Drosophila melanogaster: one gene and its partners. Changing the gene in region 3 together with the main gene of any one other region gives a genetic interaction. Each region holds a gene or a part of one and is shown on either strand. Other genes may lie near its edges.

Region 1 (5,112 bases), on a different chromosome or scaffold from region 3:
AGGCACGCACTTGGTCGGTCCACTCTGTGCGCCCCGATCTCCTCCAGTCTTTGGTCTCTGCTCGCCGCATTGGCCATCAACACCAATCGCCAAATGGCGTTCGTGTGTGGCAAGTGACACACGAGGCGCTGCAGCACAGCTGGATGCGTTCTCCTCAGCCACTCGCATCTGGATCTCTGGACCAGGTGGATGTGGTGTGCCAACAATGCCTACAAATGGGGACCATCCATCAGTGCTGATGGAGCTGGCATTCCCACATCCCGGAGAGCTAAGATCGGGATAAGCCGTAAAGACATTAAATATAATCTTCACAATGAAAATGGATTTTTTTTATGGTGTCTCCTTTCAGTTGTTGTACACAGGATACACAACGGATAATGCTTAGGATTTACAAGCCATTATAATCAAACCAGGTAAATAGTTTATACATATATATATATGTAAATATGGGTAATGGGTAATCACAACTACTACACACTAATAGATTTAGTTATTATCTAGCGAAATTTCCTTTGAAATAATAAAGCTGATCAATTTGATAATGCATTTATGTTTATTGCTTCTCGTTTAGTTTAGCTTAGTTTCAGATTAGTTTAGCTACGCACTAGACGACGTCGTTCGTTCGTTTACACTTTAAAATTTAGGTTAATCACTAATAGCAGAATGGGTGGTCCTTAGCTCTACAGGTGGTTAGATCCACTCTGGCCGCTGCTATGAGCGGATGCTACCCAAAAGCGGCGTGCTCTCGGCAGCCTTTGAGGTAATCACGGTATGGCGGGAGCCGAAGCCAGTATCAGCCGACGGAGCAGCTGGTGGTCGCGGTGGCCAATGGCTCGTACCAGGACGCTCGTCCTCGGCCTCGTCGATGCGAGACTGGCGCGCTTGGCGCTTCTGCTGGTTCAGCTCGTGCAAATAGAGGGCACTGAGGCACATGTCGGCCACGCCCACATTCAAGGGAGTGCTGCCCACGCGCGGGTCCACACCACAGAGTCCGTAGAGCAGTGTATCCGTCGGACCCTCCAAGCGGCCTTCAGCCCGGCTGAGGCGCAATCGGCGCATGCTGTCCAGCGGGCCGACACTGGCGGACAGATTCTGCTGCAACATCTGGCGGAAGTCGCTGGCTGCGACGGGGAATCCTCCAGATACCGGTCCTAGACCCGGACGCAACGACTGCGAAATCTCCAGTTGCTGGGGCGTCACCTGTGCGGTCAGCACAGAGTTCGCAATGGAACAATAATCCGCTCCCATGGTGCCAAATGAGATGAGGCTGTTGGTCAGCGGGTTCTCCTGCACCATCGACGTCTTGGCCTGGACTAGTTCACCAACGGCGTGCTCTCTAACGCCGCGCAGGAACTGCTTGGCCTCCTTGGGCATCTGCCACTCGGGATTGTTCAGGGTGAAGCGAAGAAGCGACATCTCCGTTTTGCCGCCGGCCAAACTTTGCTGCTGTGGCTCCTGCTGCGGCTGTTGAGCTGTAGCCCGGGTCATCTCCTCCAGTTCGCTGGTTAACTGCCAGTCGGGATTGCCATGCTTGCGAACATCCATCTGGGCAAAGGAGCATACGTTGCCCACTCCTCGCACGGATACGGTGAACGTCCTGAAGAAACGCACCAGCTCTATGGCCTTTGGCCTGAACACAAAGATCAGCACGAAGGGTGTGACGAAGGGACTGAAGATTTCGCTGAGTAGGTAGCCAGCCTTAAACTGAAAGAAGTTGCTAAACTCCTGGCGAACCTTTGTCGTGTGCGCCTGCTGCCGCCACTCGGAGGGCAGGTAGTGAACGTGCGCCAGAATGGCGGTCATTAGCTGCTCTGGGCACCAAACGAGATTCTCATCCGGTATTAGAGTTCTGCAGACCACACCTATGGCGCCGAGCCCTGCAAGGATGGCAAGCAAATGCTCCACCTGGAAGACGTGTTCCTCGTAAATGCCCAATGCAAGGATTAGAAGTAGTAGTCCTCCACTGATAAAGAGTAGGTTTTTGGCTATCACAGCGGCCAGTGGCGAGGAAAAGGAGTTGAGATAGCGGTCCGCGTAGTCATATGCCCGATTCAGCCTGGCATCTAGTTCGTGGTCCAGTTCATTAAAGTGGCGCAGGTAGAGGCGGCCGTAATTGGACCATGTACGCAGGCCAAGGGCACCAGGCTCCTTACGAAGAATGTTCGCATAGGAGAAACTGAAGTAGATAAGTTGCCATACGAAGATCACAGGCGCTAGGACCAAATTTAACAACGCCACCCCCAATATCAGTTTGGAGAGTCGCTGCGCCAGCTCCGTTTGATTGCTTCTTACCGCAAACTCATCACGCAGCTGCCAATTGTTCTGGAAGGGAGATCCAGGGCCGCGAAACAAGATGAAGTCAATGTTGAACAACATACCTCTACTCAGCGAGACCACTTCGCCATACAGCGGTATGTGGAACCTTACAGGCAGCAGTTGCTTGTTCATCAGTGCCACTAGGTAGTTCTTGAAGCGCAGAACTCGGTGATAGATGTCCAATTCCGTAAGCGACTCCTTGTCGATGCACATATGCTGTTCGGCCTGGACGCGACGAATCCGCTGTTGCACCTCGTGCCACGTAAAGTTGTCCAGATCCGAATCCTCGATATGAAGCGCAGAGTTGTAGAATCTCTTTATATCGGCGTACTGGGTAATATGGTACACCATTTTCAGAAGCCTTATGCCCAAATAGATAGCGGCTATGAACACAACCAGGTACGTGACCCAAGTGAAGTTGGCTAAGCACTCGCCTGTGGGGTACATCACATCGGATAAAGTTGTCTTGTTGGGGTTAAGTCCCCCTGGAGGGGTGTCCCCAAAGAGCACGTCAAATCGGACGCAGTGCATCACAAAGGCAAGTAGCCAGACGACGAAACCAAACTCCAGAACCTGTAGCATTTCGTCCACTACAATCACTGTGAATCCGTGCTTCTGCTGGTACTGATACATTCGCGAGAAGAACGAGTCAAGGTCCTCGATGTGGTTCCACCGCGCACGCCCCGTCTCCGGAACCATGTGGATCATGACGCCACTGTTTCGAGGCGTGTCCTCGCCCTCATGCTCGGTGTCGTGCTCATCCAGCGGCTGCTCCAGCCCGTGTTCACCGAGGGGGTCTAAATGCGCAGCAGCTGCGTTCGCTTTTGCGTCTTGTGTTTTGGATGGGCCTTGGCCTGTGGAGGGATGGTGCTCCAGGAACGGACTGGCCGCCTCCTCGGCCAGGGAGCGGTAGTTGATATGTGGGCTAGACATCGCCCAACGTCAAGGTCAACCGTTCTGACTATTTATATCGCTGTATAGTATAAGTTGGAAAATTCTTTGTTGTTTGATTCTGCTGAACCTTCTCAGCAAACAGCTGACTCTCCTAAGAGAAGTGTTGGCCAACGTCAAAATACTGGGTAATGAATAAGTAAGGCGAACCTCTTGCAGCGCCCAATGTGCAGTGTTCACACTGCCAGGGCATCTCTAAATAACACACATTGGAGAATCAAAGGTATCTTATAAAATTAATACTTATAAATAATTAAATTTGCATTTTTCTTGTTATTTGTTTTTATATTCGTTTTTAACTTTTTGAAATACTCGATACTTTTGTTTATGGTACCCGAAGTGTGAACAGCCTAGATATCCATCAACATAAATCTGCACAGAGTTGGCAGTTCTCTCCCGCATTTGTAAACAAACTATTTGTAGCTCTTACTTTATTGCAAATTTAATTTAAAAAAACAAACAGCCAAGATGGGTAAAAGGCAGCATCAAAAGGACAAAATGTAAGTATTTAGCACATCCAGCGAGTTATGGAAATGAAGACTACCCATTGCTTTAACAGGTACCTCACGTACACGGAGTGGAGTGAGCTGTATGGCGGCAAAAAAGTGGAATCCTTGGAGAACGACCATGTCAAGTTCAAGCGGCTGCCATTCGAGCACTGCTGCATTACGATGGCGCCCTACGAGATGCCCTACTGCGATCTACAGGGCAATGTGTTCGAGTACGAGGCCATTCTTAAGTTTCTCAAGACCTTTAAGGTGAACCCCATCACCGGGCAGAAGATGGACTCCAAGTCATTGGTGAAGCTGAACTTCCACAGGAATGCAAACGATGAGTACCACTGCCCCGCCTTGTTCAAGCCCTTCAGCAAGAACTCGCACATCGTGGCGGTGGCCACAACTGGAAATGTATACTGCTGGGAGGCAATCGACCAGCTGAACATTAAGACAAAGAACTGGAAGGATCTGGTGGATGACACGCCATTCCAGCGTAAGGATATCATCACAATACAAGATCCTCAGAAGCTGGAAAAGTACGACATCTCGACCTTCTATCATATTAAGAAGAATCTACGAGTCCTGACGGAAGAAGAGCAGCAAGAGAGAAAGAATCCAGCCAGCGGCCGCATTAAGACCATGAATCTGGAGACCAAGGAGACGCTGGAACAGCTGCAGCAGGACTATCAGCCAGCGGAAGAGGAGGCCTCCACTTCGAAGCGTACAGCTGACAAGTTCAACGCAGCTCACTATTCAACTGGAGCGGTGGCGGCCAGTTTTACGTCTACCGCCATGGTGCCCGTTTCCCAAATAGAGGCGGCTATCATAGATGATGATTTGGTCAAGTACGAGCGGGTAAAAAAGAAGGGCTACGTTCGTTTAAATACGAACCTTGGCCCTCTCAACCTGGAGCTCTTCTGCGATCAAACTCCTCGAGCCTGCGATAACTTCATCAAGCATTGCGCCAATGGTTACTACAATAATGTTATGTTTCACCGGTCCATAAGGAATTTTATTGTAAGTACGATCTCTTTTGAGAGAAACTTTAATTTACTATGGTTTTATCCACAGGTGCAAGGTGGTGATCCCACTGGAAGTGGTTCTGGTGGCGAGTCCATTTGGGGCAAGAAGTTTGAGGACGAGTTTAAGCCGAATCTTACGCACACGGGCCGAGGAGTGCTATCAATGGCCAATTCGGGACCCAACACCAATGGCTCTCAGTTGTAAGTACCACAAAGTGACATTTTTTCAATGCTTTTGCAAGTATACGCTGTTTCGTAGCTTTATCACCTATCGCTCTTGCAAACATCTCGACGGCAAACACACCATCTTTGGAAAGCTTGTCGGA
Region 2 (4,627 bases), on a different chromosome or scaffold from region 3:
CTCACCCTCTCATACTGGTAGAACGATCGACTTGTTCCAGCGCGCCCGTACAGATATGGATAGTAGGCACCGTACATAACTTCGGGGCAGGACACTGCCATTGTCGCAGTGGCAAGCGCACTTGCAACTGCAACTGCCACTCACTGCCACACACACACTGGCACTGGCACTGGCACTCACACTGGCTCACTGCTTTTGCGGTTTAGCGATGGATGGTAGTTAAATTGGTATTGTCACTTGAGCGGGGAGGGAATTGTGATGCCAATACGCGTGGTTCCAATTGGATTCGTAATCGTATCGGGGGTTTGAAATTGAATGCTCTCTCTGAAGAGAGGGAGATAGATATATAGATAGAGAGCGCGCGGGGAGGGAAGGGGGCTAAAACTTGGAGTAATTATAAAACCGGCTTTCAAGTCAAGGCGTGTTTTGTTGTTTTTGTTGTATTTTTTCTGCAGCAGTTGTAGTATTTATTTCTTTTGTTGGCTGGCAAAATTCCTGGAATGAAAACTCCGCTCGGCTAATTATATTTACATATTGTAAAACACCATCGCGTTTGTATCAGCAGCTATAATTGCTTTTTGTCTGTTTTTTGTTTACGTTTTTTGTTGTTTTTCGCAAACTTCTTTCTATGCATTTGCCATTCCCGTTCGTGGGTAATTTCCTTTTCTTTTCGACTCAGTTTCCTCCCCTCGTCGCTCTTCGACTTTCTTCACTTGCTTCTTTCTTCTTTGTTTGCTTGTGCAGGCAATTGCAATTATCATTTCCACATTGTTGATTGCTGTTAGTCGTTGTTTTCTATTTTTTCAGTTTTTTTTTCCCTTTGGCGTTGGAACGTCAATTTCGTTTCTCATCCGCGTTTCCGACGAAGAATTGCCAACTGGAAGGAAAATGGAGAAAAGTGCAGGAGAAGGCATTAACAATTTGCTAATTGTGGTAAGAAATTCAAAGCTGATGAGCCAATTTCTGGCATTTATGTTAAAACCGACTTTAATGATGTGACTATTTGAACCGTAAATGTCTGTTGAAAAGCAATTGCATGTAAACAAAGCATCATCAAGTTTCAAAATGGCTATAGAAAACCACAAACGAATGCTTTCACAGCTAAAGTAATTATGATCAAAATAAAAACCAATAAACTGGCACATAAACGGTTTTATAGACGAAGTGAATTAAAACTTGTTAAAGATATCCGTCGGAAAATAAGGAATTACTTTAAAAGTCTTTGAAGTTAATTCTTTAATTCTTGGCTTTAGCTTTTAGAAATATCTTGAATTAGGTCGCAAATTAATATGCTAAGCTTTTTTGTAGAATGGAAATAAATAATCGTTGCAACTATTGATTGATACAATAACAGCAGCAGCGAATGCCAAACGTTGAACAAACTATTGCATTGAACACAGTAAAAGCTATTGAAATGAAAATATAGCTAAGGTCCGACGGCAATAGGAATCATTTTTAAATAAACCTCCGTCGGGACATGAAAACACAAAATTTACATTTTAAAAGCTATCTGTCACAAAAAATATTCGTAATTTAATGAATAATCCTATAAATTATATCTGTGCTTCTACTACTGCTATTACATATTATCCCAATTTAATTGGAAAATAACTATAGCTCCATAATGTTCCCGTTACAAAAAACTTAAGCTATTTAACAACCTTTTTTTAATCCTTAACTGTTCAGAGCTTTTCACGTTGTACCTTTTTACAATTCAATTAAAAAGTATAGGAACAATATAACCAATTAAGTGGAATTAATAAATTAACCTTATGATGTAAGGTACAAACATCAATTTCAGACGTTTAGCCTAATATGCATAATAAAATTAAATGCAAATCGATAAATTAGGCAAATTATGATAATTATAATGACACCAGAAGGAAAACGACTGCGGTCCAATTTGACATTTCATTTATCGAACCCGCACTTACCACTTGAATGTTTTTAGTGTAATCCAATAAGATGTTCAGTGTTGCTTGCGTAAATCAACTCAATTCTCGTTACAGTGCACTTTTTGCAAAATATTCAACAATTTCACATCTCTTGACAAGGTAAAACTTGACTTAATTTTCGTTTGATCGTTTTGTTGTTGTTGTTAATTTGAATAGTAATTAAAGTGATACGCGCTGGGGAATTCGCACGTGAATTCTTGAGATTTTGGCGCAGCGGCTTCTGCGATTATTTTTAACCGAAAACGAGCAGCAAACATTTGGTCGGCGCACTCAATGAAAATATTTTCGCTAAATCCACAAAATGCCGAATTCCATAAATTCTTGGCGGCCCGATTGTGCGAGAGCGAGTGAGAGAGAGGGCGATAGCCAGCGAGCGAAAATGAGATGGAGAACGGCACTATTTTGGCAATTGCAGCATCCGCGGAAATCTCTATTTCTATAATTATTATTCTGCTTTGCGATGTGGCACTTGGAAAACAAATGAACTGCACTTGCCGCGATCACTCACTAGGATTTTGGTTTTGTTTCGTTTTAATTTTACGATATTCTCGTTTACGCTGAAATCGAAAATCCGAAATCGAAAATCCCGCGCGGCGGTGAGAGAAAAACACGGAGAGCTCCGGCTGCCGCTCAATCGGAAGAGAAAAAACAAACTGGCAAAAGGAGCGGTAAATCCAATGCATTTGCGGGCAGCGCGACGGCAGCGCAGTCGCCGCGGCATTGAAAACAAAATGGCAATTTCTTGTATCGGGCCATCTCTCTCGCACGGCAGTCATTGGACCGCGGTGGGAGCGGGACAACTAGTGTGCTGCAGTTGCCAAGCACCGCCCACTTGATTGCTGCCGCATTCAGCGTTGTATTGTTGTTTCCAGGTTTCCAACTAACGATGCCACATCGGTGTGAAAATAAAATGGAGTGCGTCTCAATTGTGTCCTCAAGTAGACGAAACTCCTGCTGTTTCTCTCTGATTTTAAAGTTCGACAAACAGATTGAAAGGAATTCGCATTCATCCGGGGCCTTCTACTTCGTCCTTTTGTTCCTTTCCTTGCCTTTCCGCAATGAAAAGTATGCGCCAACTGTGTCAACAGTGTTTGCAGTGCCCCCGCAATCCTTGTTTTCCAGTCCCCTTCCAAGCCCCAAGCCCTCCTCAACCGCGAAGTTTCCGTATTGATAATAATCTGATTGCAAATGAATACAATTTATTGTGCTGTTCATTCGCCTTCATTTCGCCGCGGATTGTTGACAAGGTGTGGATGCTTATAAGTGAAAGACGGTCTACTACACCTTTAATTGTTAGATTTCTGATAGGAACGTGTAAAAAAAGCTGAAAAATCTGTGGATAATATAAAAATGGAATACATCAAGTCGGCATGGAAAATAGCCCTACTACAGAGCATATAGGATCTAAACTTATGTTTTCATTTACAAATTCCAGGAAAGTCGGAACACAAAGTTTGGTTTTAGTGACAGCTAATATGATTTGATTACTGGTTATACCGATTTGGCTAAATATCGAAATTTGTTTTAATACGCAGAAAGTTGTTTAAGCAATGTTGCATAAAATGTTGTGGGAAACTTCTATAACTACGGAGAAAGCTAGAAAAAAAACCATGTTTATGTGGGAGTTTAACCTGAGAAAGAAGTTTCCAGATAAAGAAGACATGGCCGACGGGACTTCGAGCGGTGATTATTTAAGGGATTCTCAAAGTAGTTAAGGTAGTCAGTCTTATAGATGGTCACCAAGAAAACTATAATGGTTATTACACAGCCTGCATCAAAAACTAAATTTCTAAATTCTAATGCCAGATAATAATAATATCTTTTATTTATTTTGAAAATGATGAGAATATTAATCTCTTATACTACAATCCAATTAGACAAATCAAAAGTAGTGAACTGTTTTTACTTAAGGCTTTTAATAAAATTGGTCTGGTTTCAACCTTTTGAATAAAACATTAAGAAAACTCTTTGACCAGGTGCATATTGATAAGCTATGAGAACAAATGTGGCCTTTCTACAGACCCTAAAAGTATGCAACAAAAATATAATATTCTAGCTACACGTTAGCTTATATATTTTACCCACTTAAAAATAACCAACCAAAATATTAAAAGCAATTATTAAAGTACAAAACATACGCGCAAGTATTTATTTCTTACGAGTTTCCAAATAAATTTGACTCTAGGCAGTCTTCCCGTACATTTTTCTCGTTGTTTAACAACTTTGCAGCATGTTAGTCTTGAGAAGAAGGATAAAACACTCACGATTGGGTTTGGCGTAAAAATAAAAAGAACTGAATGCTTGGAAAGTCACAGGGAAAGTAAAACAATTGTTTCATCGAATTGTATTCAAATCTAAAGAGTACGTTGTTTGAGTCTATCGTGCTTAAGGCGTTAATCGTTTGGGATCGCGCGGGAACATGGAAGTCTTGCGGATGTTGTCCAATCCCAGATACAGCATCACCACACGCTCCATTCCAATGCCACCACCAGCATGTGGAGGACATCCATAGCGGAAGGACTCGATGTACGCCGCAATCTTGGAGGTATCTAGAAAACAAATATATACGGCGTTAATATTAAGTATTAATAGAGTAGATAAGTTTCAACTTCTTATCTGAAATGGGTTACAGTCTTATATAAGCACTTGAGCTATGCATTTATATTATTCTC
Region 3 (4,958 bases):
GTCCGCCGCCGTTCATTGCCGTTGATGATGACGTCGTCGATGTCACTTCGTCACATGCCAGATTCTCCCTGGACCGCTTGTTGGGATAGTCCTTCTGATTGGCTGCCGAGGGAAGGAGACGAAGACCAGAAAATACGCATTAATGCGGTGATTTAAAAACTGATTTTAATTGGCGGTTAGCGATTTGCTTAATTTTATAACCCATGATGTCAGCACGGACCGTGTATGGACCGCAGTGCGAAAAACTTGTCGCGCCAGGTTCCCCGTTCAAAAAAACCGCAAAAATATTTCGTTTCGATTGCCGCCTGCCAAAACTGACGTAAGACATTTATTTCGGCTCTAGAGTTTTTTTTTCTTCTTTTTCGCCTGATTACGAGCGAATGCAAAGCCAAAGTTTTCCACATTCGCTCGCAGCTCACAAGTCGCTTATCACAGTGAGCAGGCATAATTAGAGAACGCTTTGTAAGCTAGCCCGATACCAATTTGATAGTATATTATAGTAAAACACAATCCAGATTATTCATTTATAGGTAAGTCTGAACAAAAGCTGTCAATAACAAATAGTTGAAAACTTTTTTAGTACGGCAATCTTGGGTTTTTAATGCTGGTATATTTATGTTCTTAGCATCATTCTGATTTCTTCGAATATTATTAAAATTAATCTTGTAGTAAATATTTGTTTTTAAAAACTTCAAGTACGATTTTCCCCCTACACTAAACTTTAATTTTAAGCCATGTTCCTTGATTGAAGGGTATCATTTCAGCCGTCCGTCAAAAGAAAAAACTTGATAAGATAACCAATGCTACAGTTTGTATTATGTTTTCAAAGTGGTCTTAGGAGTTCGGACTGTGCTGACTTGATCAAATCGACTTTATCAGCCTTGCCAGAAAGTATAGTCTCTTTTATGCTGAAAAGCAAAACAACTTCGAGCAAACTACTGGGGTACAAAATTGCTGTTATCAGCCAAGCGACCTCAAAAGCCAAAAAACAACACAGAAAAAAGCAACAGCCTCAAAAAAAGTACAACCAACTTTTCACCGCGGCAGGAAACGTTGGTTATGTTTTTTTTTTGTCGCTGTTGTTGTTGTTTGCGGCTAGTAAAACAAGTAAAATCGCATGCCAATAGTGCATTGCAAACCTCCAGGGGCGTCTGGGTCTGGAGTGTGTGGGTTTCGAAGGGGGCCTATGGTGTGGGAAACGGGGGGAGTGGTGTGAAGTAGAGTAGAAAATAGGAAAGTGCTAATTAGTATACAGTGGCTTGTTTACTTTTGGAAATGAGCTATGCATCAGCTTTCTGTTCACTATTTTGTCCAACTTTTGGGTTGCGATTCGCCATTATGTTTACTGTTATTAGTAATTCGCTGTTTATTGTCTAAAAAAAACTTGGCAACAAGGTAGTAAATCTTTCACTTTAAGATGATATTAATTTTAAGTGATTTATAAAGCGATTGTAATGCTTCAACTTATATTATATTTAATAAATTTCAACTATTCTGTAAATGTTTTGGAACTTTGACTCAACGAGGGCACCCCTTTTTAGTTTCGCCCCTGGCCCTTGCAACTAACCCTTCCTGCTCTTCCGCTCTTTCTTACCGACTCCCAACTTCAGTTTTGAGTTGTTGCCGCGGCTGTTGCTTTTTCTCCTTCTGCTCCCCTTTTGGCCTCCTCCTTCGCACGCTTCTCCCTTCTTCTGTTGTTGTTGTGCCGATGAATTCGTACTCGAAAGGTCGTTTCAAAGCGGGTTTTTCAGCGTTGCCAGGCCGCTTGAGAAACCTGCTTTGCTTTACATTTTTTCTGTTGTTTTATTTTTTTTATTTGTACTCGTATTTTGTTGGACTGACTGATTTTTTTTTTCATTTATCCAGCCAACAGAAACGAATCGAAACGCTTCTTTTGCTTTTATTTTTGAAAGACACGCGAATTGTGAGTCACGTATGGAGCGAAAAAAAGTAACTGACTCTGAGTCTGATCTCTCTCGAGTTCGTTTCTTTTTGCTTGTTTTTGCTTTTGTAGAAATGAAATGGAGACGCTTACGTGTGCTCCCCCTCTCTTTCGCGCCCCAGCAAAAGTAAACAGCATGCCGAGCGGTAAAAATCAAGAGAGCAAGAGAGAGGGATTAATACGTTCTCCCTGTCCCGCTCTTTTGATTGGTTTGAGTGTAATCTTAAATTGTACGATTTTTCTTATTGCTTATTTCTGTTGATTTGATTCTTTTTTTCGCTTCTTTTTGTACTTACCACCAATGCGATTGTTGTTGTTGGTATTTTGGATTGGCATAAATAACAGAAGACACGGCGCTTCTCGCTTTATCCGCATTTTCATTTCACTTTGTATATGACTCACGCTGTCGCCGTCTCCGTCGCACTCACAGCGTCCGTTGTGGCTGTTGTTGTTGCGTGCTGTTGACGTTGCCGTTGTAGTGTTGTTGCTATTATTGTTGCTGCTGCTCTGCGTTTCTCGATTCACACACATATGCACGCGCTCACACTACACACATACACATGGGGGCCTTTGGTTGTTTTAAAATTGATATATGTATATTTTATTTGTTGCTTTCTGCCCGTATAATAATCTATATTATTTAAGTATGATTTTCGGTAGGAGGGCTTTATTAGATAATCCCCGAGCCACTTGTTGAGCCACTTCCCGTTATAAAGTGTGTTGCAACCAAAAGTCGGGGGCCCAGAAATCGAGTTTTATTTCCACTTGTAGCACGCACACTTATTTTTAATTCATTAATCGAAAAACGCGCGGGTTGTAGATCTCGTTTTTATATTTTATTTTAGTATTAATTGTTTGCTTCCTCTTCTCACGATTCGTGTTAAAATTATTGTATCCAATGATAAATGTTTTTACCAGAAATATTCTAGTTTTAATTTCCTACTGTTTTCGCGCGGAGCTTAGTTATTTTTCGAACTCGTTGTGCAAAGATGTAGACACAACCGTTCGAAGCGGTATTCAAAAGGCGAATGAATGACCGAATGAATGAGCGCAAGACGAATGAACGGGCGCAAAACAAATTTGATAACCGAATTTGATAAAGACGCGATTAGTGTGACCAGAGGCTACTACAGTTAAAAAAGGCTAACAAGCTGAAACTTTACTCTACGCTCACCAAATTCACCAACACTGAAGACTTTGCGGTTGAATTTGAAATTAAAGTATATATAATAGCCACAATTGTTGACAAATGAAGTTAAAATAAGCTATTACATACTTTGACCTATGATCATAATACAATTTTTATTTATTTATTTTTTATTTATTACACGTTAAAGGTTAATTATTTTCGAAACATGCTGACATTTGACTTTGTATAATTGCTTTTGACATGCTGTATATATACTAATTTTCTTTTATCTCGGGCTCAAACCTTTTGTTAGTTTATATTGATGAATTCCATTTATTCATTATAATTTTTATGAATATAGCAATGCTCGTTATAAACCTCTTTAAATTCTTCGTTGTCAAAACATTTTATTTGTCACTACAGAGATGCGCTCATGTCTACCCAAGTGCCTCAGCAAACCAATCCCAACCAAACCCGTCAAACCCCACCTGAATCTCCGCAACCCAGTAACATGGAACAAATGTTTGCTCGCTTCGAAGGAATGGTCGAAAGGATGATGGAGAAGATGTTCTCGCAAATGACGCAGCTTGTTGCTTCCATCCTCAACGCAAAAGTATGCAAAGCCTAAAAATAGTTATTTGGAATGCTAACGGCCTGCAGAGGAGCAGAGCCGAGGTGGAACACCTCCTAAAAACAGATGCCATCGATGTACTACTGGTATCAGAAACCCACTTTTGTCCCAGATCCCATTTTAGCATTAGCGGCTACGATGTCATCCCTGCCAACCATCCATCTGGCAGAGCGCGCGGAGGAGCAGCCATGCTCATCAGGAGTGGCATCCAGTACACGGAGCTACCTGCGTTTCAGGAGGAATGGGCCCAGTGTGCCCTGGCCAGAATCTCCAGCCTACATGGAGACATCACCGTTGGAGCGGTCTACTTCCCACCTAGACACTCGATCACCGAGACTCACCTACAAGATTTTTTTGAGTCCTTTGGACCTCGCTTTATAGCAGCTGGTGACTTCAACGCCAAACACTCCTGGTGGGGGTCCCGCTCCATCAACCCCAAAGGCAGAACGCTCCACAGATTCCTGCAGAGCAGAAGACTGGATTGCCACTCCTCTGGTGAGCCTACCCACTGGCCTTCAAACCCTTCCTTGCTGCCCGACCTCCTGGATTTTGCTATCTCCAAAGGCATAGGGCAAGACAGACTAACTTGCTCCAACTATAACAAGCTGATATCCGACCACAGCGCTATAAAAATGCTTCTCAACATCCCCGTCCTCAAAAAAGAGTTGCCCAGAAGACTCACCGGGAAGCACACTGATGCCTCCAAGTTCACACTCTGGATGCTGTCCTCCCTGCACCCGGATCCTCCACTCTCCACTCCAAGCAACATCGATGCGGCAATCAAAACTCTCACGGATGAGATGTACAATGCTGCTGAGTTTGCCAATCCTCCTCCTTCAACGTCCCCAAGAACTCCCGGTAGAGACCTTCACCTCTGGTCTCCAGAAATTGCGGCCTTCGTAGCGGAAAAAAGGCGCCTCAGGAGAATCTGGTTCTTCTCGCGCAACCCAAGGGACAAGGCAGCACTCAACAGAGCCATCAAGGAACTCAAGGACAAGCTGTGTACCCTACGGCAAGACTCCTTCGACAGATTCCTTGAGGAGCTGGAACCTGGTGACCCGCAACATAATCTGTGGCAAGTCACGCGTCATATCAGGAGGCCTGCAAAGAAGGCGTCGCCGGTGCGCAAAGCGGACGGCTCTTGGTGCCGCTCTGAAGCCGAAAGAGCTGAAGCGTTTGCAGATCACCTCCAGAATGCATTCTCACCATTTGACAGATGCACTGGCGAAGAGCGTGCTGCAACCACCAGGTTCCTA
Region 4 (7,907 bases), on a different chromosome or scaffold from region 3:
CTGCCGTTGGGCGTGCCTTCGTCATTCTTTTTGCCAGTCTCGTCTCTCGTTATATCTATCACATCCTCCTCCTCGGCGAGCGGCAAAGCATCTCTCTTTGGTGATGTTACTGCTTCCACTTCGGAGTCGGCATCACTCACATCACTGTTGGCTTGAAAGTTATTGACAAATTCCTCAACATCGTCGTCCTCCGAGTCCGATTCCTCCTCCGAGTCATCTCCGTCATCGGCGATTTTGAAAATCCGTCCATTAGCGGCACGCTTTTTTCGAATCACATTTCCACGAGCTGCTGGACCCCTTTTTAAAGCGGCGAGAGCGGCCGCCTTAGCTGCTGCCTGAGCACTTGTACAGGGCTTGTCGTCGTCTTCCGCCAAAGCAGCCAGCTTGGCGGCCTCCTCGTCCGCTTTAACCTGCTTCAACTTTTTCTCCTTAAGCCGCGCCTCCTGACGCTCCTCCGCATTGAGATCTTGCTCGAGGGCATACCTAGAATAAATAATCCAAATATTAGATTGGAACTCTGTTTTAAGTTCAGAGCACTGCGCTGTTCTAGATATTTCCGATAAATAACAAGTGAAAACTCTTTTGAACAGCGCAGTTCTGAAATTCTCGATTTGAGCTCACTTTTCTAAGATATCACTTATTTTGGTTTGCTTTTTGTTGTTTTCCTTGAGCTTGGCTAGCAGCTCGGGATCACTGGACGCTGGATCTTTGCCATTTGCCGTGTAATGTGTGACAGTTTCGTAAAGATCATTCTTTCGGCGCGATTGCAGCATTCGACCGACTTTGTTAAAGGCATCGTAGGCTGCAAAACAATAAAATGTGTGCTCAATATTGATTTTGATACTTGAAGACCATGACGTACCGATTCTCTTCATCTCGTACTTGGCTAGTCCAAGTTCCTTTTCCTTGTTGCACTTTTCCAGTATTTGAAGCACATCGTGGTAATCGGGAAAATCTTGCATCCTGTTCACAAAAGCCGAGAGCGAGTTATTGAAGTGTGGATAGTCCGAATCCTTGAAGTGTATGGGCTTCTTTAGCTGTCTACGGACACTCTTGCTCTCGCCCTTTAGATCACAGATTTTTTCATAGATTTGGCAGGCACGCTTTTTGAAGCGCTCCAACTGAAGATAACTGGAGTCCTCGTCGTTCAAGTCCACTTCAGCTTCCTCCAACATCTTTATTCGCTTAGTAATAGCATGCAGCGTGCGATAAAAGTGGCGTATCCGCTCATCCCTACGCCTTTCTTCGCAAGAAACGGTCCCGACATTCACCAATGTCACCTCTTCTACTTCATCATCCTGCTCTCTTCCCGCCATCACAGTCTGCTGCCCCGGCGCTTTTACTATCGCTGGCTGCTTGGGTGTGGTCAATGTGGGTGGAAGTGGGAACTGGCTAGCTGGTGGAAGTGGGAACTGGCTAGCTGGCGGAATTGCTCGTACTGTGGGAAACATTTTGGTCAGCCTCCGCGATGCTAACTCATCTAACACGTACTTTAGGTGCACGTACACCAGGTACGATTCGCTTCGGATCCTCGCCATAGCCATTGTAACCAGGTTGCGAAAGCCACATGACATCACGAAGCTTTCGGGCGCACTGTAGTAATACTGGGTCAATTCTCCCTTTACAAGGCGTTCCATGTGAGTCGATTTGTCCACCTCGCGGCAAAGACGAAGAAGTGCCGCGTACTCAGTTGTAAAAGGGGCATTCACTGATGGTGCTGCCTTGGCTGCATTCTTAATTGGAGGAAAACATTCTTTCCCGCGCTTTTCTGGCGGGATATCCGGTATTTCATCTAAATCCACTATTTCTGTGACAACTAAACCGGATTTTTTCGTGGAAATCATCACTGCAGGCCTTTTTATTGCCCTGGATTGTTTATCTGTTGCCATCGGTTTGATCGACGATTTTTCCACGGTCATTGGCCCGCGCTCCGGCTCCGGCTTATCCGTGGGCGGAGTAGTGGGCGGTGATTCGACTAGAACAATTGTGGTCATCGAGGACGACTGCAATTGTACGTGCTTCTTTTGCTGCTGTTGCTCGAGATGCCTTTGCCATTCCTCGTCGGATTTCTTGAGCACGGTAATCGGCTGGATGCGCTTGGCGCTTGCAGTTGGAGACCTGTTCACTGGAGAAATGCTCGCTTCGGGCAAGGAATTCAATTTAATGGCTGCCGCCTTGGCCAGCTGCTGTTGCTGAACTGCTGCCGATGGTCCAGCGGGCGGTGGAGTTGTCGTAGGCGTCAGTTGCGGCGTAATGCTAGTGGTGGGCGGCAAGTTTAGCAATAGCGGCTCATTCAAGGCCGCGGCACAATGCGGTGGAGTGGCCAGAAGACGCTGTGGAGGTGTGGCACTCGCAGTGAATCCCTGGACATGCGTCGAAGTCATTGGTGCTTCAGATGTCTTGCGCTGTGAGCTTCTAAAGGGCAAAGTACGGGCTGCAGTCATTGTTGGGTCTGTGGGACTGACATAACTAGCCATCTGCGGCTTCATCGGGATGCAGACTTTGTTGTTTGTAGGCACCGGCGAGATCTTGGCTACCGTCATGGGTCGCACTATCGGTGGACGGTGCGCGAACGGAGGATTTTGCATGGCCGCGTTTGGCATTGTTTGCTTTTGTACTATATGAGCGGGTGGTGGCGTCTGCTGCGGAGCTATCTGTTTTGGCAGAATTTTTTGCACCGTCTGCAACATGGGAAGTCTCTGAATAGTCATCGATTTGTGCGTAATTTGATTGACAACGGGAAGCGATGGTTGCTGTGATGGAAACTGTGGGCCCATTACGGAGTTTACCAGTGGTGTCTTTGGTGATTGCTGTTGGGCCACCAGCAAAGGATTTTTCGGGAGCTGTTGTGGGCGCGGCAGGACCACCGATGTTTTCGGAAGCTGCGGTTGCATCACGATTTTCTTCTGTGGCATCTGTTGCTGTTGAAGAAGTCCAGCACTTGTTCTCTGCTGGGGCTGGGATTGAAATTGTTGCTGTTGTCCTAGGCCCGCTCCTTGCTTTTGAGCTGCTGCCTGTTGCGCTAAGGACGCTTTTGGTGGTTTTTGCTGCTGTTGGAGCTGCCCCGCGGAAGTATTTAGCTGCTGTTGTGCTTGCTGTTGGAGTTGCCCCGCTAAAGTCTTCTGTTGTTGTTGTGAATGCTCTTGGAGTTGCCCCGCTGAAATCTTCTGTTGCTGTTGTGGTTGCTGTTGGAATTGCCCCGCTGAAGTCTTCTGTTGCTGTTGAGTTTGCCGTTGCAGCTGCCCCACTAAAGGCGTCTGTTGCTGCTGTGATTGCTGTTGCAGCTGCCCCACTGAAGGCTTCTGTTGCTGCTGTGATTGCTGTTGAAGTTGCCCCACTGAAATCTTCTGTTGCTGTTGTGGTTGCTGTTGCAGCTGCGCCACTGAAGTCTTCTGTTGCTGTTGTGGTTGCTGCTGGAATTGCCCCACTGAAATCTTCTTTTGCTGTTGTGGTTGCTGTTTTACGTGCACCATTGAATTTTTCTGCTGTGATTGATGTGGCTGCTGTTGTTGGAGTTGCCCCACTGATGTTCTTTGTTGATGTTGCTGTTGTAGTTGCACCAGTGAATTGTTCAGTTGCTGCGGTAGTTTCTGCTGAGGTTGCGGTTGCCCCAACGGCACCTTTTGCTGTTGTGATTGCCCCAGGATCTTTTTCTGTTGCTGCTGTTGTTGTTGTTTCTGCTGCTGTAGTTGCCCCAGGATCTTCTGCTGTTCCTGTTGCAGTTGCCCTAGGAACGTCTTCTGTTGCTGCTGTTGCAGGTGCCCCAGAAAAATCTTCTGTTGCTCCTGTTGTAGTTTATTCAGGTACACCTTCTGTGGCTGTTGTCCCACGACAACCTTTGGTATTTGCTGAATCTGTACTCCAATCCCCGTATTCTGTTTAACAGACTGTTGTATCGATCCCACCGGTGGTTTTTGCTGCGTTAGCAATTGACCTCCAAGTGGTTTCTGGCGCGTAGGTAATGTGCCACCCAGTGGCTCCTGTGATTGCTGTATCTGTACTCCAATCGCCGTATTCTTGTTAACTGGCTGTTGTAGTGATCTCACCGGTGGTTTTGGCCGCGTAGGCAATGGGCCACCCAGTGGCTCGTCTGGCTCCGTAGGCAATGGGCCACTCAGTGGCTCGGCTGGCTTCGTAGGCAACGGCCCACGTGGTAGCTTCTCTTGCTGCGCAGGCACTGGGCATTCCAGTGGCTTCTGTTGCTTTCCAGGCAATGAGCCATTCCGTTGGTTCTGTTGCTGCTGCAATTGAATGCTCACGGGTCTAAGTGGCTGTTGCTGCTGCAACGATACCTGCTGCAATTGGCTAATAGAAGCTATATGCTGCTGCTGTCCTGCAATTAATTTCTGGTGTATTTGAAGCGTTAGAGGTTTTTGGTGTTGCGCCATTTGAGCCACTGCAGTATTGGGCTTCGGAAAACCCACTATGATGGCCTTCGGTTGCTGGGCTTGTGCCTGTTGCTGAGGCTGACCCATCCCAAGAATGGGTTGAATCTTTGCAGGCATCGCATTCGAAGCCGGTATTATTTTTGACCCGGGTGCGAGTCGAATCGGATTAAACGGCGTCACCCTCACCTGGTGGCTGGGCACGGTGGTTATCACGGCATTCGGACTGGGCGCCTTGCTGCTCACCGACCAGGCCACTTTCTGGCCGGTGCCAACATTGATCTGCTTCGGGGTCACATTTTTGTTCAAGCTGGTAGTGTTGTTGTTGTTGTTGCTCTCTGCCAGAGAAAGGTTCATGTTTCCGTTTGTGGCGAGGACGTTCTTCTGGTGCTTAGTGATGGTGATTCCACTGGGGATGTGCATGGACCGGAGTGGATCCACTATGACCGGAGTCTCCCTTGCAGGTCCTGTTTCCGCAACAGGCACTACCATCGCGGATCCCAGGGAGGCCTTTGGTATGTTCAGAAGTTTGGCAGGAAAACTTTGCCTACCGGATGGCGTTAGTAGTCGCAGCGGATCCTCGAGTCGTCGTCGTTTGGCCGGCGACTGCAAATATAATTTGAAACTTATATTACAAGTTATGTTCAATTGGTAATAAGATGAGACTACACTGCCTCTGACAATAAGACCAAAGTTTACTTATAAGTATACATAATGTTTGTTGTTTTTATCACAAGTGCATCGTCTTTGAAGCGCGTTTTATAATTAGCAACATTTATAATAGTTCCAAACTGCAGGCGACCTGTTGGTCGCTCTCAGATGTATTTTAAATTTGAATGAAAATATAAACAAACGAAAAGCGTCAGTGTATAGGTGTGCGTTCGTCGGTGTGTGCGAGAGCTTTGGAGAGTTGCGTGCGCGCGCTTTGGAGAGTTAATTTGATTTAGTGCCGTATCAGCGGAGACGACTTTCCAAACTTTACCAGGCGAATTGCGTCTTAACCAAACACTCTCCAGGAGCGGAGACTCACCGCACCCTCTCACTCGCTCATTTCCACGCCTAACGTAATTAAAGTCCGATATTCGCCAGTGCAACTGCAAGACTCGCCAGGTCTCCAATCGCTCGGTCTGGCAGCACTGTCACCGTTTTGCAACTGTATGAGTGGGGCACTGCACGTTCGTGTCTGCTCGTTCTCAATAAAAAAGCAGCGCGAAAAAAATTTAATTCCACACTATGTGTAACACGCACACATACTCATGCAGCGAGCCTATTTAAAACCAACTGTACTTTTTCACACACACACGCACTGACGAGTCCGCTGGGAAATCGGGATATTACCTCCTCATCAGACTCCGAGCTCAAATCGACGCATATCACAGACGCAGACATTATTCGCCCCGAAACGGCAATGGTCTGCACCGAATTTATTCACTTTACTCGCCGCGCGATTTACTGGCTTTTCTTCGCATTTGGACTTGCCACCGTTGTTGTCAGCTACTTTTTCACACATATGTGAACGACGCGACCGGGTTCGTTGCGAGTTCTCGGCACTAGCACTGAATACTGTATATATGTGGGAATTTTCCCACATATTTATTACGCTCGCCAACAGAGTGCACTGCGTGAGTGTTTGTTTGTACTCATGCCTCAGAATTGTCAAATTGGAGAGTCTTGGAGCTGCTAAAACATCGCTGGCTGCCACGATAGTATCGGTCGCTAGGTGCCAGCCGGTGCCAGCGATGGACACACAACTAAATATCGAAACTCCTTTTTATTAACCCTATAATGCCTGAAACCAAATGTGTACATGTCAAAAGCTAAATATGTTGGCCCATCTTAGACAAAAAAGAAACCATAAATAACCCTCTGGATAGGTAACGTGAATTCCACCAAAAATATAATTGTTAGATCTTCTTGCTAGTTTATGTATTTAATTATCGGAACATAATCTTTAGGCAGCTTTGCAGTACAGCCCAAAAATATAGATTTTCCCATGGCTCAACTTCAAATTTTAATGCTTAACAGTGCCAGTGTGACCGGTCGTCGCCAAGTGACACGACGGTTTATTTTGACGTTTCACCAACGGCCACACTGAATGACACGTCGACGTCGTCAATTCGTTCGCTTCGTTCATTCGGTTTTTGAAATTTGAGGCGTTCGCTGTGCAGTGAAAAGTGAGACTTTCTACTGTTCGCGTAGAAAGTGCAATAACCAAGCCACCCACTCAGTGCCCAGACTAGCAACACAAGTCCGGCAAAATGGGAAGTAAGTAACCGTCATCGCCAGACATCTTCCCCAAAATCGGGGAGTGCAGCGGTTTTTGTGTGAAGTGCCGCCCTTGCAATGCCGCTCGCACCCTTGTCGCTCATTGCTTACGTATACAAAAAAGATTCGGCGTGCGCCGCTCGTTGTGTCCGAAAATCGCAATTAATTAAAAATGGCCTGAGAAACGTAACTAATTCGGTTGCCTTAATTCACTATTTGCAGTCAAGTTCCTGGAAGTTATCAAACCGTTCTGCAGTATACTGCCGGAAATCGCAAAACCGGAGCGCAAGGTGTGTATAAAACCGTAATTAGATGTAATCAAAGTGTAGCTAGTTATCCCAATTGCTGCTGTACCATGTAATGTTCGAATTTTCCCAACAATTTGCGGCTTTTCTCGTCTTATACGTGTGTTTTTCCGAGCGAATCTCGCTTTGCTCTCTGCCAGTGTTGCCAGCCCACGCGTTTTGTGGTTGCTTTCACTTGTCAAAAAAGTGAACATCGCCACGCAAACAGTTTGCTCTTCATTTGGTAGTGGGCAAACGGCAGCCGAACCACCCTGATATAGAACAAACTGAGTTTTTTATGTGTCGAAATAGGAAAACACGCCTTTTGTGTCCATTTAATTCATGAAAATAATTATGCCCAACTTTAGTTTTATTTATTACTATATCGTACACCACTTGAAGTGCACATATTTTTGAGTTTTTATATGTTTCGTGGGCCTTTTCATTCATAAATCTCAGTATTTCCACCTCACTGCTGCTGCTAGTTTTCTTATCACCTGGCTACTTGTTGCCATACTCTCATTTAACACTCACACACGCACACAGACACACACCACTCTCTCGCCACTGACAAACAAACGCTACGTGGAAATGGAAATGTCAAACTTCGGCTCGCACGAAGCGCTGTCGACGTCAGCTTCGTTTGTTTTTGTTGCTCGCAGGTGATGAGCGATGACGACGACTACGGCCAAATGAAGTTTACCAGATTTTGTTTAAACAATTGACACACGTACACACATGGGAAAGCGGCCATGTAGGTCAACATAGCGGTAGCATTATTTGTGCAGCTTAGTTTCAAGGGTAAAGCGGGCTTGATCTTAAGCCGTTTATTTAAAATAAAATAATAATAATGTAGTATTTTTATATGTTTGGAAATATCAAAGATTCCTTTACTTCTATGCATTGTTTATATATCTCCACACTTTTTTACACTGCAATATGACTCATTCGCAATTGTTGGTTCTTTTTATTT

What was found.
Region 1: of puc (region 3) and Atg9, changing one suppresses a phenotype caused by changing the other (phenotypic suppression), as found in Drosophila melanogaster (one study listed by BioGRID).
Region 2: of puc (region 3) and vg, changing one suppresses a phenotype caused by changing the other (phenotypic suppression), as found in Drosophila melanogaster (one study listed by BioGRID).
Region 4: of puc (region 3) and Daxx, changing one suppresses a phenotype caused by changing the other (phenotypic suppression), as found in Drosophila melanogaster (one study listed by BioGRID).

The regions. Positions count from the first base shown.
Region 1 is NT_033778.4:16,292,658-16,297,769, reverse strand, and holds Atg9 (Autophagy-related 9), read right to left. Parts: upstream 3,371-5,112; 5' UTR 3,250-3,370; coding exon 712-3,249; coding exon of another isoform or gene 691-711; 3' UTR 538-690; downstream 1-537. Other genes in the region: CG7747 (uncharacterized protein), read left to right, coding at 3,736-3,767, 3,827-4,781, 4,836-4,987, 5,046-5,112.
Region 2 is NT_033778.4:12,882,619-12,887,245, reverse strand, and holds the start of vg (vestigial), read right to left. Parts: upstream 3,046-4,627; 5' UTR 1,935-3,045; intron 878-1,934; 5' UTR 102-877; coding exon 6-101; intron 1-5. Other genes in the region: AspRS (Aspartyl-tRNA synthetase), read right to left, coding at 4,341-4,504. UniProt on the Drosophila melanogaster protein: Involved in determining which thoracic imaginal disk cells will form wings and halteres, perhaps by interacting with other nuclear regulatory proteins.
Region 3 is NT_033777.3:8,103,376-8,108,333, reverse strand, and holds the start of puc (puckered), read right to left. Parts: upstream 3,003-4,958; 5' UTR 2,474-3,002; coding exon 2,239-2,473; intron 1,847-2,238; exon of another isoform or gene 1,595-1,846; intron 103-1,594; coding exon 1-102.
Region 4 is NT_033779.5:6,479,067-6,486,973, reverse strand, and holds the start of Daxx (Daxx-like protein), read right to left. Parts: upstream 6,046-7,907; 5' UTR 5,775-6,045; coding exon 5,724-5,774; intron 4,992-5,723; coding exon 863-4,991; intron 803-862; coding exon 622-802; intron 484-621; coding exon 1-483. Other genes in the region: Sec61alpha (Sec61 alpha subunit), read left to right, coding at 6,644-6,650, 6,873-6,940. UniProt on the Drosophila melanogaster protein: Transcription regulator. Acts as a histone chaperone that facilitates deposition of histone H3.3. Has a role in chromatin remodeling together with asf1 and XNP. Has role in the transcriptional apoptotic response to oxidative and UV stress.